Linked DNA regions of Notamacropus eugenii. The protein of the gene in region 1 interacts with the protein of each later gene in a biochemical or structural test. Links are inferred from orthologs where the notes say so. Each region holds a gene or a part of one and is shown on either strand. Other genes may lie near its edges.

What was found.
Region 2: the proteins of mediator of RNA polymerase II transcription subunit 23 (region 1) and ELF3 form a complex in vitro, tested with the Homo sapiens proteins (4 studies listed by BioGRID, with this or other methods). The link is inferred for Notamacropus eugenii from reciprocal best matches to the Homo sapiens genes MED23 and ELF3.

The regions. Positions count from the first base shown.
Region 1 is NC_092873.1:216,606,090-216,613,870, forward strand, and holds the start of mediator of RNA polymerase II transcription subunit 23, read right to left. Parts: upstream 4,261-7,781; 5' UTR 4,054-4,260; coding exon 4,006-4,053; intron 3,993-4,005; exon of another isoform or gene 3,820-3,992; intron 2,538-3,819; coding exon 2,506-2,537; intron 2,297-2,505; coding exon 2,209-2,296; intron 1-2,208. UniProt on the Homo sapiens protein: Required for transcriptional activation subsequent to the assembly of the pre-initiation complex. Component of the Mediator complex, a coactivator involved in the regulated transcription of nearly all RNA polymerase II-dependent genes.
Region 2 is NC_092873.1:438,366,557-438,374,337, forward strand, and holds the start of ELF3 (ETS-related transcription factor Elf-3), read right to left. Parts: upstream 4,523-7,781; 5' UTR 4,390-4,522; intron 3,484-4,389; 5' UTR 3,472-3,483; coding exon 3,318-3,471; intron 2,960-3,317; coding exon 2,738-2,959; intron 2,314-2,737; coding exon 2,221-2,313; intron 1,789-2,220; coding exon 1,669-1,788; intron 1,458-1,668; coding exon 1,365-1,457; intron 769-1,364; coding exon 652-768; intron 1-651. UniProt on the Homo sapiens protein: Transcriptional activator that binds and transactivates ETS sequences containing the consensus nucleotide core sequence GGA[AT]. Acts synergistically with POU2F3 to transactivate the SPRR2A promoter and with RUNX1 to transactivate the ANGPT1 promoter.

The sequences.
Region 1 (7,781 bases):
TCTTCTAGACCTTGTCCTGTCCCCCAACCTTAAATCTTCTATCTCAAGCCTGTTTCCTATTGGTGAGGCAACACTTCATCCTTTAAAGATTAGCCATCCCCCCAGCTTTAGCTTGGGATGAAAGCAACTAGTTTTTTGGACTCATGTTAAACTGCAGGAAAGGGAGATGTTTAGTTCTGGTATGGTGGTAGACAAAAACATTTCTTCCTACCCTTCTAGTGTCGCCTTGTTTTGTGGAGTATCATATGTACAGATGTGTATGGGGTGTTCAGGGAAGGCTAGCACTGCTGGTATGAGGGCTTGCTGAACCATTCTCAGGGCTACTCATCCACCTCTGGTGTCTACCTTCACCCAGTTCTCACCTGTAGCTCCAAGAAGCTGTAGCATGTACAATGGCCACACCCTGGTGAACCACCTCAGCAGTCAGGCTAAATTAGTTTGAGGGTAAACTGACAGGCCTCAAACCCATAGGTAAGGTAGGGGAACATCTACTCAAGCATGTGAAGACTTTCCCTGGCAGAATGGGTAGATGAGAACAAGTTGTTCCAATAGTGATGAAGGTGGTTAAAACAAGAACTGTGGAGCATGGAGAGCCAAGAGAAGACAGCAGTCATCCTGAGCCATCGCCAGTTGTCTTGATTTTTGTCCTGCCACTGGACTTTGATGACTCAGGAAAGGAGTGAAGCTGACAACTTTGTGCAATTCTACCTCATTTAAAATCCACTTCATGCCCCAAGTTAAGACATCACTAATGATGTCATTAGTCCCCTTAGAAAATGAAGGATGAACCACAGCTATAGGTACTGCTCCCACAACTGTGGCATCAATCTGTTCCTTCTGTAGTTGGGCCTGTCTGGGACAAAAAGCCTTCGCTATGTTTTGGTTATACTCTTAACAAAAGAGTAGATAGGAAGAAGTCTGTCAGCCTCAGTTTTACAGATAAGGAACATGAGCCACAGGGACTAAGTGGCTTGCCCAAGTTACACAATAAGTATTAGCCATTTGGAAGTGTAAGAAATAATAAAATTTAGGTTTGTTACTATCTCCCATATAATCTTGTCTCATGATACACTTTGCTAACTCTTATTTTATTTTCTCTTTTTCACAGATACAATCCATTATCACTTCTAAGCTTTTATTGGGAGATAGTTAAATTTATACCTAAACATATATGAGGGGAAGTCAGTGGCTGAGCAAGTAAGGTTTAGGTGGTCACAGAATGTTACAGTGACAAAGGGACATTAGAAATTATCTATTCAAGTTCTTAAAGTCTTAACTTTTCTTTGTTATAAAACCCTCTAGCAGTCTGGTAAAGGTTATGGAACCCCCTCCTCCCAATAATGTTTTTAAATGCCTAAAAATAAAATATATAAGCTTACAAAAAAAACCACATTAAAATATTTTTTCAAAAACAAGTTCACAGACTCCAGGATAAGAAATCCTTATCTAATCCAACCCTGTGGTTTTACAGATGATGAAACTGAGGCTCAGAGAAAGGGGTGGGGGCAAGTGATTCACCCAAGGTCATGAAGCTAATATATGATAAAGCTGGGATTAGAAGTCAAGTCTCCCACCTTTAAGATGGATATGATTCTGCAGATAAACCAAAGGAGTAAGGCCCTGCCTCTACTTCCATCAGTGTTCCTGTCTTCCCTTATTTCCCAACTGAAAGTATCTTTACTATCTTTTCTATCCTCTGGCACAAAAAAAACTTACATAGGGCACTGCTGATTCCTGCTGTTTCTGAATACAAGGGAACAAAGAGAATGCTTGGCTCCTATGTTGTAAATTGACCTTTTGGTCTGCCAAAGTTTTACAGGAAAGCTACTATACAGATTTTAAAGACATTAAAATATTCTTATTTAGTTTGACATAATGAATCTCACTCCTACCCACCACCAACAAAATACAGTTAAACACAGGAAGAGACTACAGAATCCCCATTCCTTGAATCTTTAAAAAACAACATGGAGAGCTGCTTATATTAAAGCAATATAATGAAATGTATACAAATTTTAGTCCTGGTTTCCCCATCTAAAGCAAGTAACTATATACACAGTTTTCTCATCTGCCAGATGAAGTTTGAAAAGAAAATCCTTGTCTTATCGACCTCATGGGGCTTATAAGGATCAAATATGATAGCATATGTAAAAATATTTTAAAATCACAACATTACATATGAGATATTATTTAAACTTTAGTGCTCACCTGAGAAAGGCCACCCCAAAACTGTCTGAAAGCTCCCAAGCAGCTGATCAGTTTTGTTTTTTCATCTTCTGGTGTATCCATAAACATGCTAAAGAAAGAAAATACTGTTATCATCTGCTACCAACTGCTACATACAAATGGTCACCATCGTGATTAAAAAGCAACCCTGCACAGATCCCTCATTATCTACCAAATATTGTGCTTATTAAAGGATATCCAGAATGACAAGAAACTAGAGAAGGACAGGGAAAGAAATAGATACCACATAAACGGATTTTTATCTTGCATTATACTTACCCTGGAAATGCCTCTTCTATGATTTCTGTTTTCTGTAAAATAAACAAACAAAAAAAACGCCATTAAATTTTAAGAGTACTTAAATATATTCCCAATTTGTCTGGGCTCTCATACTCTGATTTGTTGTGTGACCTTCAATAAAGCACATTAGGTTTAGTCAAAGTGAACCTTTTTCAGACTAAAGGACCAAAACTAGCTTGGAGTGACTAATCAACCAAGCAAGAAACATTCATGAAGCACCTACTGTATTCTGTGCATATACAGAAATAAATGAAACAGTCCCCATTCTCAATTTGCTTACATTCTATCAGAGGAAACAGCCTGGTGACCTGAGGCAAGTCACAATCATGCTGGGCCTGTTTCTTATCCATAAAATAAGAGGCCTTGCACAAATACAAGGTAATTTTAGAGGATTAACAGTAATAGTTGAAAGAAATGGGAAGGTCCAGTGTAGAAGGGGGCGCTTGAGGAGTTCTGAAGGACTAGGAGCTGCAGTGGCAGAGAGGAGGGAGGCCACCTGAGCCTGAGGGAACGTACAAGGCAAAGGAGTTGCGTCCTCACCATTTCTCCCATGAAGGAAAGACCTCATCTCTAAGTGTTCTAAGCCAAGACACAGAAGCTCCCAGGAAGGCTCAGAAACCTTGGCCTGGAGGGCCCCCAACTGCACATGACCATGGCAGCTGCTGGATCCTCCCCCTCACCTAGGGCCTCTTTACTTGTCATCAGTCTGCCCCATTCTTCTGAAAAACAGATCTAAGGGTTTTGGTAAACCGTGCGCTCAACACGATGAGCTGTGGGATTCTGGATTACCTGCACTTTCCAATAAAAGGGGTGAAATCCCCCACGAACTCTGTCCTCCTCAAACTTCCTATCTGGAGGGCCGAGCTCATCTCCCTACCTAATAAACTCCAGTGGCTCCCAAGAAATTGGCCTGAAAACATTAAAATGAGTAGCAGCTATGTAGTCTGACTGGACAAATCTTACTCCCACCTGGAGGTCTCGGATCAAATATAAAATCTTATGCTTGACGTGTAAAGGCCTTCCCACTTCTGCCCCTTTCCCTTTGCAATCTTATTCTCCGCTCCCCTCTGCATAGTCTGTTAACTCAGAGACGCCGGGCTTCTGGCTGGTGCTCGAACAGGACATTCCATCTCCAGCCTGCATGCCTTTGCCCGGGCCGTGCCCCCTGCCTGGCATGCTCTCCCTTCTCCCTTTGGCCTCCACTCCAGTTCTACGTTCTGCAAGAATCCTTTCCTGGTCGCTAGCGCTTTCCCCGAGAGAATCCCTTCTCATGGATCACGGCAGACTGCTTACGCGAGGTTGCGTGCACACCGTCTTCCCCCCTGGGGAGGGCGAGGGCCTGGTTTTCCTTCTCTTTGGCTACCCCGCGCTTGGCCCGGCACACAGCAGGCGTTTGATCCATGCTGGGGGAGCCACAGCAGGGGAAGGCATCTCTCTCCCTCCTCCCCTTCCTGCGGTCCGCACCGGCTCCGCACTCACCACGACCTCCTCGAAAATGCTCTGCAGCTGCGTCTCCATTTGCACCATGGCGGCGGCGGCCGGGGCGGCGGGGCCGGGCCCACAGCCCTCCTCTTCCGATCGCGGCTCGAGCTCCGCCGCAGCCCCGGGAGGCCCGGCTCGAGCGTGGGCGCCGCGCGCGCCCGGACCCCTCCCTCGGCGCCGAACGCTGGGCGAAGCCCCGCACAGCTGGGTACCCAGCGCGGCGCCGCGGGGACGCCCGGCTCGCTCCCCTCCCGGAAACGCCGGGCGGAGACGCGAGCCAACGACCGGGCACTTCCGGGAGGCGAGGGAGGGGCGTGGTGAGCGCTCCCAGCCAATCACGCGGAGGCTCCGCCCCTCCCCGCCCCCGGGAGTCTCCTCCCTAACCTGTTTGTCTGCTCCTTCATCCACCCTGCCCGGGCTCCTCTATTTAGCATCCTTGCGCTCCCCCCACCTCAATCTCTTCCTAAATAATTTTATTCTGTTTTAGGCAGTGGGAAGCTGCGTATTTTTTTTTTTTATGTCCCCCGCGCTCAGCTCAGTGTCCAGCACTTGGGGGCTTAATAAGCGCTGGTTGGCTGGTGGAGGACGTTTCTGTTCTGCACCTTTGTGTGATGGTAATTTGGAAAATGAATTTTATCCTTTTTTTTTTATTGGCCCGAGGCAGCGGATACAGCAGAGGGCTTGGAGTCCGGGACACTTGAGTTCAAAACTGGCCCCAGACGCCAGCTCTGTGACCCTGAGCACGGCGCTTAATCGCTGCCTGCCTCAGTTTCCCCATCTGTAAAATGAGGATAACGGTAACAACACCTGTCTCCCAAAGTAGCTGTGAGTATCAAATGAGGTCATAGTTGTAAAGCGCTTCCGTGTACCTGTTAGGTATTATCTAACAGTTATATTTCATAGTACTTACATCATTAAAATATATAAATATATTTTATCAGCGATGGTTGTGTATGTATGTATATATAGGAGTGCATATATGTGTATACACATAATATAAAAACACAGTTCCTTTTGAAAATAGAACCTTCTCCCCATCATCCAAGGAGCTACATAGTGCAAAAATTGATTTCTGTTTTGGATATGTTGAGTTTGAAATGCCAGTGGGAGAAATATCGAATAGACAGTTTGTGGTGAGGGACTGGCACTCAGGAGAAGAGGGCTAGATAAGCAGGTAGATGGGAAAGAATGAGGAAGAACAGTCCAAAAGAAAGGAGCCGACACATCCACCATGCCTGGCTTTATATGTGACGTTCCCGTTCCCTCCTTCTCCTACTTCTGTAATGCAGGGAGCTTTGGGCTTCGATGTTCCATAAGGAGGCCATTGGGAGTAGAGAGGGAAGAGGGCGCTTCAGAAAACAAGAAGCATTTATTTCGTGCCTGCTGTGTGCAGGGGGACACATTTAGAAGTGCCACTTCTGAAAGAGGAAGGGGATGTTCTGGGCAGGAGCTGGCCAGGAGTCACAACTCTCTTTAGAAGAGGGGAAGGGGGAAGGGACCAAGGAGGGCAATGATCTTAACTACATCTGAATTATTACTCCTTCTAAACTTGATTACCATCCTTAATACAATTTCCAGACAACACCCTGCCCAAGCTCCACTTAATGGCTAGTTTAGAGTGATTATCAATGGTAACATTTTCTGTTTCCCTTCCGGATTGATTTAGTTATTTCTTTGTTGTTGTTGTTCATTAAAAGGGCCATTCCCTGACTACTTCTTAAAGAGGCCTTTTCACTCAATGGTCTTTACCTCCCTCGAAGTGAGTACCTGAAAAGGCCAGCCTAACACTGCATCCTGGGTCACCTCCAGTCATCTTGATGGGTCATGGGACCCATATGGCTCAGGAGGAGAAAGTGAGGCTGGTGACCTTTCGCAGCCCTCCCTCACTCAAAGCAAAGTCAAGTGCAAGTCATGTCATCATTTCTCTGATGTCATGGTCTTCTTCAAAAACGAAGGGTGATAGAAAGGAGAGCAAATTGGGGGAGGGGGTAGTCAGAAGCAAAACACTTGAGGAGGAACAGAGTGAAAGCAGATAATGGAATAAACAAGGGTGAGGTGAAGGCAAGGGCTTTCAGTAGGATGGAGGAAAATATCATTAGCCATAGTAACTGAAAAAAATTTTTGAGGCAAGTTTCTCTGATAACAGGCCTCATTTTTCAGACAAAAGAGAACTGATTCAGATTTATAAGTGAAATGGACAGAGAGAGAAAAAGCACAGGCAAGAGTCACCTGAGAATTTGAGAGCGTCTTTATTAGCCAGCGGCTGTCTCATGGAAAAACCCAGAAGAGGCAGCCGCGAAAAAGGTGTGTGTGTGCCTTTTAAGCATTTCGGCACTTCTCAGTACAGCTTTGTGGTTTTAACAGCAAACATATCTCACAGAACAGTTTTGACAGGGGCCCAAGTTGCTGCTAGGCAAAGGGGCACAACAGAGAGTGGGCTCCTAGGCAAAGGGGCACAACAGAGAGTGGCTGCCTAGGCAAAGGGGCACGACAGAGAGTGGGTTCCTAGGCAAAGGGGGGGTGGCTGCTAGGCAAAGAGGGGGCAACTGCTAGGCAAGGGGGGCACAACAGAAAGTGGCTACTAGGCAAAGGGGGGCCCAACCCTACCTAGAAACTCAACAGACATTTCTCAACCCAGGGGCTCCGGGGCGGGGGGGGGGGGGGATAATGTCTACTTCAATAAGAAATAAGAGCCATTCCCTAATTGATAAATGATCAAAATATATGATCAGTTTTCAGATGAAGTAATCAAAGCTATCTATAGCCATATGAGAAAGTACTCTAAATCACTATTGATTGGAGAAAGGCAAATAGAAACACTTCTGAGGTACTACTTGTTACCTATTAGATTGCCTAACGGAACAGAAAAGGAAAATGACAAATGTTGGGAATGGATGTGGGAAAAATGAAACATTAATGCATTGTTGATGGAGTTGTGAATTGATTTAACCATTCTGTAGAGAAATTTGGAATTATGCCCAAAGGGCTATAAAACCATGTGTACCCTTCGACCTAGCAATACCATTACTAAGCCAGTGTCCCAAAAAGAGACAAAAAACAAAGAGGAAAAGAATCTCTATGTACAAAAATATTTATAGCAACTCTTTTCTGAGGACAAAGAATTAAAAATTGAGAAGATGCCCATCAACTGGAGAATGGTGTAACAAGTTGTGGTATGTGATTACAATGGAATACTATTTGTACTACATATAAGAAATGATGAGCAGGATGCTTTCAGAAAAACCTGGAAAGGCTTGCATGGGCTGATGCAAAGTGAAATGTACTGTGTACAAAGTAAAAGCAAAATTCTAAGAATGTGAATGTCTTAGCTATTCTCTGCAATACCATAATCCAAGACAACTCTGAAGGACTTATAATGAAAAATGCTATCCATCCCCAGGCAAAGAACTGATGGTGTCCCAATACAGATTGAAGTATATTTTCTTACTTTATTTTTCTTGAGGGTTTTTTTTGTGTTTTTTTTCACAACGTGACTATTATGGACATGTTTTACAAAACTACACAACAGCCCAGACAATACATACTTTCCTAAAAGAAAGAGATTAATACTAAGATAAAAGATTTTAGTGAAGGGCATTCTTTTTGCCAAGAAATTCAATTAAGTCCTGATCAAGTTTCCTCCCTTAAGGTAAATCTGGAAAGAACTTTAAACTGTAGCAATACTTTATATTAATATTTTCATCTTAATTAAAAAGGTTAGTATGTTTCTATAATTTTTACATTACAATCTTTTCAGAATGTATCCTTTCCTG
Region 2 (7,781 bases), about 220 Mb from region 1:
TCACTCTCAGGAATATTATTATTCCCCATTTTACAGCTGAAAAAACTGAAGCTCCAAAGTGAAATAAATGGTCCCTGGTGATATGTCTAAGTGGCAGAAATTTGAACCCGGGCCAAATCCAATTTTCTTTCTAATATAGTCTGCTGCTTCCCAAATTTAATGTCCCAAGGATGGTTGTCCCTCTCCTCATCCCAACAGAACAGACTTACCTCTTGGCATAAAGGAACATTGGGCTATAAGGATGGGATTTGGGGCCTGGCTAACCACTTAAAAGGCAAGTCATAAACTGCTTTGTGCCTCTATTTCCTCACGTATATAATAAAAGGACTGGACTAGAGAAGCTATCTAGCTCTAACATTCTGTGATTCCTAGTTCTGCCACAAAACAGCAGTGTGACCTTGGGAAAGCTACTTTCCTCAGTTTCTTTAACAATATGAAAAATCCTGACTTACTTCACAAACAGGGCAGGTATCCTTAGCTATAAGTGACAGATGAGGAAACTGAAGCTAAATGTGAGATCATAAAACTGAGGAAGATCTTTGGAAATTACGCAGTGCCAGAGACTGTTTAACCCCTTCAACCCCAAACAGAAGTTGCCCCTGCCCACTCCTGCCCCAATGGCAACAACCATAGTAAGAGGTTAGTTCTTACCATGTTTGCTTTTCTTGCTCTCCAGGCACTCTCGGGTCTCCTTGCTCAGCTTTCGGGGGCGTCCTCGTTTCCTCTTCCCATATTTCAGGTCCCCTTCCTTGTAGTCAGAGAAGTTGTCTTAGGAGAGAAGGAAGGAAAATGGGAGTAAGTTGGGAGTCCAATCTATTTTCCAGTATCTCTGAATGTATAGGAATGATATCTGTCATTACTTTCTCCTCCCTCCCTCCCCAGCTTCCCTAGCCAGGAATCCAAACTCAAGCAGGTTCATGGCTGAAGTCAAGACTCCTAAGGGCCTTCACCGTTCCTTTCACTTATATTAAAACCTGTTTTCTCATACCCTCAAGGATTCAGGAGAAGCTCCCTTAGTTCCCCTCCCCTTGGGTCCCGTCATTTTTTTTTCACTTGGCCTCTGGTTCCTTCCTCCACCCCCTAGCTAATCAAACAGTCTCCTTGGAGCATTCAAAGCACCCATCACTTCTCACTCACTCTGATCTCTGAGCCTCTGACCCTCCATCAGTCCCATACTCTGTGCCAGCCCAGCCAGGTACTGCCCACTCTGACCTTGATAACTCACCTAGCTGGGTGTTTAACTCCCCTCTCCAGACAACCAACTCTGAATCCCACCACTATTCCTCTCAAATAGATCAGGGACCATCTGCCTGCCCTCTCACACTGGGGAGGGCCCATCTCTATAACCTTTTCCCCTCACTTACCACTGGGAAAAGAGAAGAGTTTGTTGTCTGTGGGGTCTAAATCCACATCACTTGCACCAGAGTCTGAGTGGGGACTTTGGGAGGTTCCAGTCCCTAGATGAGGGAAGGAAGGAAACCCGGTGAATCCCCCAAGCTAGCAAACGGCTTGGACACCCTCAGCCCAGGTTCATCCGAGTCCTTTTGTCCCAAGTCTGGCTGAGCTCTGTTTCTCCTTAGCTAACCCTGTCCCTCTTATAGGAGGTGTAGCCCTGGGTACAAAGCTGAGAGCCTGGGAGATTCAGGGTTCCAAGACTTGGACTCTTACCTGAAGTGGACACATCTGAGCAGCCTGGAGAAGGAGCCCCTGTCCCGTAGCTTCCTGGATAATAGGGACTGGCCAACCTTGAATCATCCAACAAATCTTGGCTGAAAGGGCTGCCATGATCTGGGGAGAGAAGATAGTAGGGATAAGCACTGACTACAGAGGAATGGGGTGGGGCTGGCTATCTCAGAAAATAGGCATATTCATGAGGGTCCTGGAAGACAAAGTGCGTGTATATTTCCAGGTAAGGGGGAGGATACTGGCTGGGTCCCTGGGGCCAGGGTCTTTCAGGACTTTTGACAGGTCCTAGATTTAGAGCCAGAAGAGTCCTTAGAGTTCAGCTAATCTAATACTCCCATTTCTCACCCCCCACACCCTATTTCCCATTAATAAAGGAAACTGAGGTCTAGGAGGTTAGATGGTTTGCCCAAAGAGAATTAAATCACGGAGATTTGGAAGTCAATTTACCCTAGGCTGGTTGGAGGTCATCTGGTTTAAAAGTTCCTGGGGCTAGATCAAGAAGGTAGAAGTAAGGGGAAAGGTAGGGACTCTTACCAAAGGTGGAATCTCCCATGATATCCTGAGAAATGAGTCCATCCTTCTCCAGGAGCTCAATGATCCAGCTAAGCTCATCAGATGAGCCAGATGCTAGAGAAAAGAAGGAAGGCATGAAGGAAGTGAAGTGGGAGGGTGGAAAGAGGAGATGGGGGGTTACTGTCAAGGTATCAGCAGGGCATATTCAGTAGCCCTCACCTTTTTCTTCTTTTTACAGGGTTCTATAATCCATATCTGGCTGGTGGCTGAGACTCTAGGCTCCTTCCCACCACAGGGCCCACCTTCTCTAAATTTATCCTTAGGACAAGGCTTAATTTAATGCCAATCCTGGCACCTACTTAAATATACTAGTTTGCCAGGACTTGGAACCCCCAGACCAGTCTCCCTTAACTTTCTGGTCAAACTCAGACTTCTAACCTGCCCTCTAGATTGGCCATCAGAGCCCTTGAGAGTGTCATTTCAATTGGTGGCTCTAACCCTGGGATATGTGGGGGACAGAACCCTCCTTGGCACTCACAGAGGTCTTGCAGCTGGGCAAAGAGCGTATCCCCCAGGGGTCCAAAGACCAGGCCCAGCTCTTCTCGGGGGCAGTTGCACAGCGTGGCACCATCCATATTGCATCGGGTAAAGTCAATGGCTTTAGCATCATATTTATTCTTATCCACCTGATAGTCAATCCATTCTAGGACCTGGTCCTTTGACCACAAGTGGGGCAGCATTCCTGACCAGCTGCCTTTGTCTAGCAAAGGAAGAGGGCACTAAGTTAATAGGACAAGGGAAATGGTTGCCCCGTCTCGTCTCACCTCTGCCTCTCCATTCACACTTTATCCCCGTAGACCTTTGACTGCTGCCCCTATTGTATTAGTGTTTCATGTATATTCCCCCCAAAACCACTCCCAGCCTCCCAGCACTCACTCTGTCTAAGCTATCCTCACTTACTCCTCCTCCCCTACATTCTCTCTGATCCCAGCTCTGAGTCTCTCTCTTTGGGGTGGGGAAGCCATCTAAGACTCCCTTCTCCTTTGCCTTCCTGACTTCCAAGCTCTTTGGATGATTACACTCCACTTCCTCCAGGCTCCCTGTGCTCCCAGACCCACCTGTGCCCTCTAGGGGCATCTGTGCATTGCTCAGGGTCAGCACTGGGTCGTCCCCACCCAAGGTGGCTGATGAGGCTGGAGCTGGGTCTTCTGCCTGGTACATGGCGCTGATATAGTTGCTGAAAATGTTGCTGATCTCACAAGATGCAGCCATGAGGTTTCCTCTCTGTGGTTAAAGTTAAGAAAAGTCAAGAAAAGAAAAACTGGGGTCCGGGATCAGAGACCAAGGCTCCTAGTTGGGATATTAGACACATTTCTTGTTCCCCTCCTCTGGACTCAGAGGTTTGGGCTAATAAGGTAGCAAGCCTGGGCACAAAACCCCCCCAATACCCCATTCTTTATCCTCCCCTTAAAAATCCCCACAGGAACTAAAGACTTTCCAATCTGGAAAGAATTCAATTCTCCCCAACTGATCATTTTGTAAATGTACAAAGGGAGGTCTGCATGTAAATTAAGCCACTTGCTCAAGGTCATTCATCTAGTCAGTGGAAACAGCAAGTGATATATCAGTCTGCTGTCTCCCCACTTCAAGTGGTCAGGGGGAGAGCCAGCATCTCCCAATCCCTCGGGCCAATAATCAAGAATTCCCAATACAGCTTTCACAAGAATAGGGCTGAGATTCAAGGTTAACAAGAAATTGCTGATTGCTGTGGGGAGGCAGGTAGCCTAGGATTTAAATCTTTGTCTGCCCAGACCCAACCTTTCCTGGAATTCCTCTCTAAGGTTTAGGTAGGAAAAGTGATTTCTTTAATGCTGACTTCTTCCTCTTTACCGAGGTTCCCTTCTCTGCATCTGATGTTCTGGGGCAGTTTAAGATGGGGAGACTGATCCCAAAGAACCCCTCAAATCAGAGGTTCCCTCCACCTCCACCCCATGAACCTCTGAGAGTCTTAGGATTCTGACATTGGGACAAGTCAGTAAAAGACCTGATAATCCCTCCATTGGAGCCTCATGCATAAGATGGGAGGGGTGGTGAAAAGAAGCACATTCCCCTCCCCAAGTCCTACCTAGATCTTTGGGGAGCCCCATGCTGCTGAGGCATGTTTTCTGCGGGGGTGAGTTGGGAACCTACCAGAGTGTAAGACCCAGGACAGTCAGCAGCAGTGGGTAATCCAGGTAGCAAGTTAACTCCAGCAGGTAAATGAACACAGCATCTAGGTACCTCCGGCTTCCCTTCTCACTCCGCCCTAAATAAAGCCTAAGGCAGACTCCTCCCAGGGCAGGAGCATTTTATATGCAGCTCCTCTGCTGTAACCTGAGCGGGTTAGCCTTGAGGCGGGCAGTCTCATTGGACCAAGGGGATTTCCTGGCCTCGGGACCCAGGCTCCCTGCCCTTGATGATTTGCATATTATATCCCAGGCAGGCGGGCGGGAGGGTGCTGGGAAATCAGGCTAGGCTGGTTTAATGATTGTCAGTGTCTGTCATCCCTCACCCTCTGGGGTGGACACTGGGGTGGGGGAAATTGGCAGGAGAGAGGGTGGGCACCCCTGGTGGTACCACCCTCAGACTCAGGAAATTCCCCAGAGGGCCTGGAGAAAGAGACAGTGAGATGGGTTGCTGGGCTCCTGGCTGTCCCCCAGAGGTGCCTTGGGAGCAGAGTTGGGTGGGGGCTGGAGCTGGTTTAAGGATTAAGATTCCGAAGGGACCTTAGGGAACATGTACCCCACCACTCTTTACATTCAGGTGATCCCTGTAAGTGCTTGGAGATCTAAAAATTTATGGGAAGGAAGACTGAGAAAGCTGATTTCTCATCCCTGGTAGGCTCTTCTTGAATTCTGGAAGGATTTGGGGTTGGTCGAAGGACCAGATGCCCATGTTTTCCCCGATTCAGAGCTCTGTCTGCAGCTATTTCTGGGGAGCAACATAGGGACTGCTCTACCAAAAATGGAGCAGAAGAGACATGGAGGACTTTGGGCATTGGCCCAGAACCTGCTCCTTAGCCTTGGTCTAGACATCAGAAGGCTTTAGTTTTGAATCTAGGCCCTGCCATTTGCTGTATGGCCATGGTAGAGGGACTTAATCCTCTCTGAGCCTCAGCTTTCTCATCTGAGAAATGGACGTATCACAGGATTTAATGGGAGTTTCAAATTGGACTGAAATTTTTAAAGGACTTTTTTGTTGTTAACAATATACAGTATCGATGTGTTACCGGAGGTCATTATCTGTTCCCCCTCCCCCTCCCCGCTATCCAGAGAGGTTGGATGCAGCCAAGAAGAGACTGCCTTCCCTTCCCCTCCCCCCATCTTCTAAGCAGTTCATCCTTCACCCCAACCTCTCTCCTATGCCCCAACGATTCACCAATGCTTGCCTGCTGCCCCCTGGTGGTCAAAACTTTCCCAAGAACCCCTCAGGGGTCCTAACTGCCCGGCAATGCAGCCTGGGGCTGCAATGGGACCAAAGGCAGGAGAATCCTTGGGCTCTGAGTACTAATGTCTCTTTCCCATTGTGGGACCAGGGGCAAGCCCTGTCTCCTCACCAGGATCCAATGAGGAGACATCCCCCAGGAGAAGGAGGAAACATGAGGAGAAGGGAAGCAGAAGATACACTGAGGGCTGGGACTGGGCCAACCCTCCCTCCCCATATAGTGTATGTGAGTAGACCCACATGTATGTCTGTATACACTTACACATGTGTACACACACATATATGTAGATGTATGTGTATGTATATGCATAATGCTATACATACACCATATTGTATATACATATATATACACATTATATATCTATATCCCCATACAGAGAGCACAGTGAGTTTCTTACTCCTTCCCAATAATTAGTGCCAACTTCAGGTAGGACACAATATTTTTTTTCAAATTAAATTTAAAATTGTCAATTAACAATCATATATTTTCTCTCCTCTCCTCTAAACAAAAAAAAGAAAAGAAAAAAAGAAAAAAATCAACCATTCTGTGACTGGGAGCCCCAGAAGTCCCATGTGCCCCCCAGGGTTTTGTCTTGGCAATGAGCCTCAGGGCTGTCTTCTCTGAAGTTACAGAGAGATGGCATCCAGAAGACAAGGTGTTAATGCCCCAAGCCCCACTGGGTCAGGGGTGGCAGAAGCAGCCTGGGGCTCTGGTCATAGGATTTTCCCCAGCCCTTCAGGGGGCCTCCCCCAGCAGCCCGAGGCAGGCACACCCTCCACCTACGACTCACCCTGGAATGTGGGAGAACCTGCTCCCAGCCCTAGGGACTTGCTCACGTGTCCTTTGCCCTGAGGAGACCTTGTGGGTCCTCGTAGGGAGGGAAAAAGGGGAGGAGAGTCCCTGACCCAGATGGCCCAAGCTAGAAGGGTCCTCAGAAACTGGGTCCAATTTATTTAACCTGGAGGAGGAATCTGAAGCCCTCACACAGGAAATGACTTGTCCAACGTAACATGGGACCTAAGCCCCAGGGCAGGGATTTGGACCCAGGCTGTGTGACTCCAACTCTAAACCAAGCTCGGTGTTCTTTCACCATGCCACTCACAGCTTCCAGAGAGACTGGACAGGTTCCTTGGACCACAGCACGGCCTCTCTCCATTTATTCCATCCTATAGGGAGGAAGGAATTGAGGCAAGTGAGTGAAGAGGGGGTGGAAGGAGAGAGGAAAGCAGGGAAGGGTTTGAATCTGAAGGCTGTTTCATGGAAGGGAGGAATTATGCAGTAATCGAGATAATGATAATAGTCAACATTGAACACTTCAAAGTTTACAAAATGCTTCATGTACTTTATCTCACTTAGTCCTCTCAATAACCCTGGGAGGTAGGTTTTATTATTCCCATTTTATGGATGGGAAAGCTGAAGCTGAAGAGGAGCTAACACGCTGGGGCTCACACAACTAGAGCTCCAATTCAGGTCTTCATGAATCCGAGTCTGGCACTATACCACCTAGCTGCTCCAAGGGGTAGAGAAGATAGAAAGGAACAGTGGAGCTCTCCCCTCCTTTTCCTCTCCCCTCTCCCATCTAAAGAATGGTTCATTATGTTCCTTCAGTAGTTCAGCCTGTCCCCCAGAGCCAGGAAGCAGGGTGCCATCGAAAAGGGAGAAATTGAAGTTTATGGTTGGGGGGAGGGTATAGGGGATTGATTGACCGACACTGGAAAGTGCTGGAGGAAGGGGAAGAAAGTGGCATCAAGGGCATAGTTTAGCTTTGGTGACTATCTTCTTCTGTGACCAGAGGGAAGGAGGCAGAGACACACAGAGAAGGAGGGAGGGAGAGATGGGAAAAAGGGGCTGGGAAAGAGAATGGAAGAGGGAGAGGAAGAGACAGAGGACAGGGAGAAAGAAGAGGGAGATATGGAAGGGAGGTGGAGAGAAAGAGAAGAGAGAGGAGGAGAAAGGAGAGAGACAGACAGACAGACAGAGAAGGAGAGCAAATGCTTAGAAGTTTGCCGGGCAAGTTTAGCTCGGACAACCTGAGACCTCTCGGGCTGGCGGTGCAGGGGATGGATGTCCAACAGGTGCTGAGGCATGGTGTGCACAT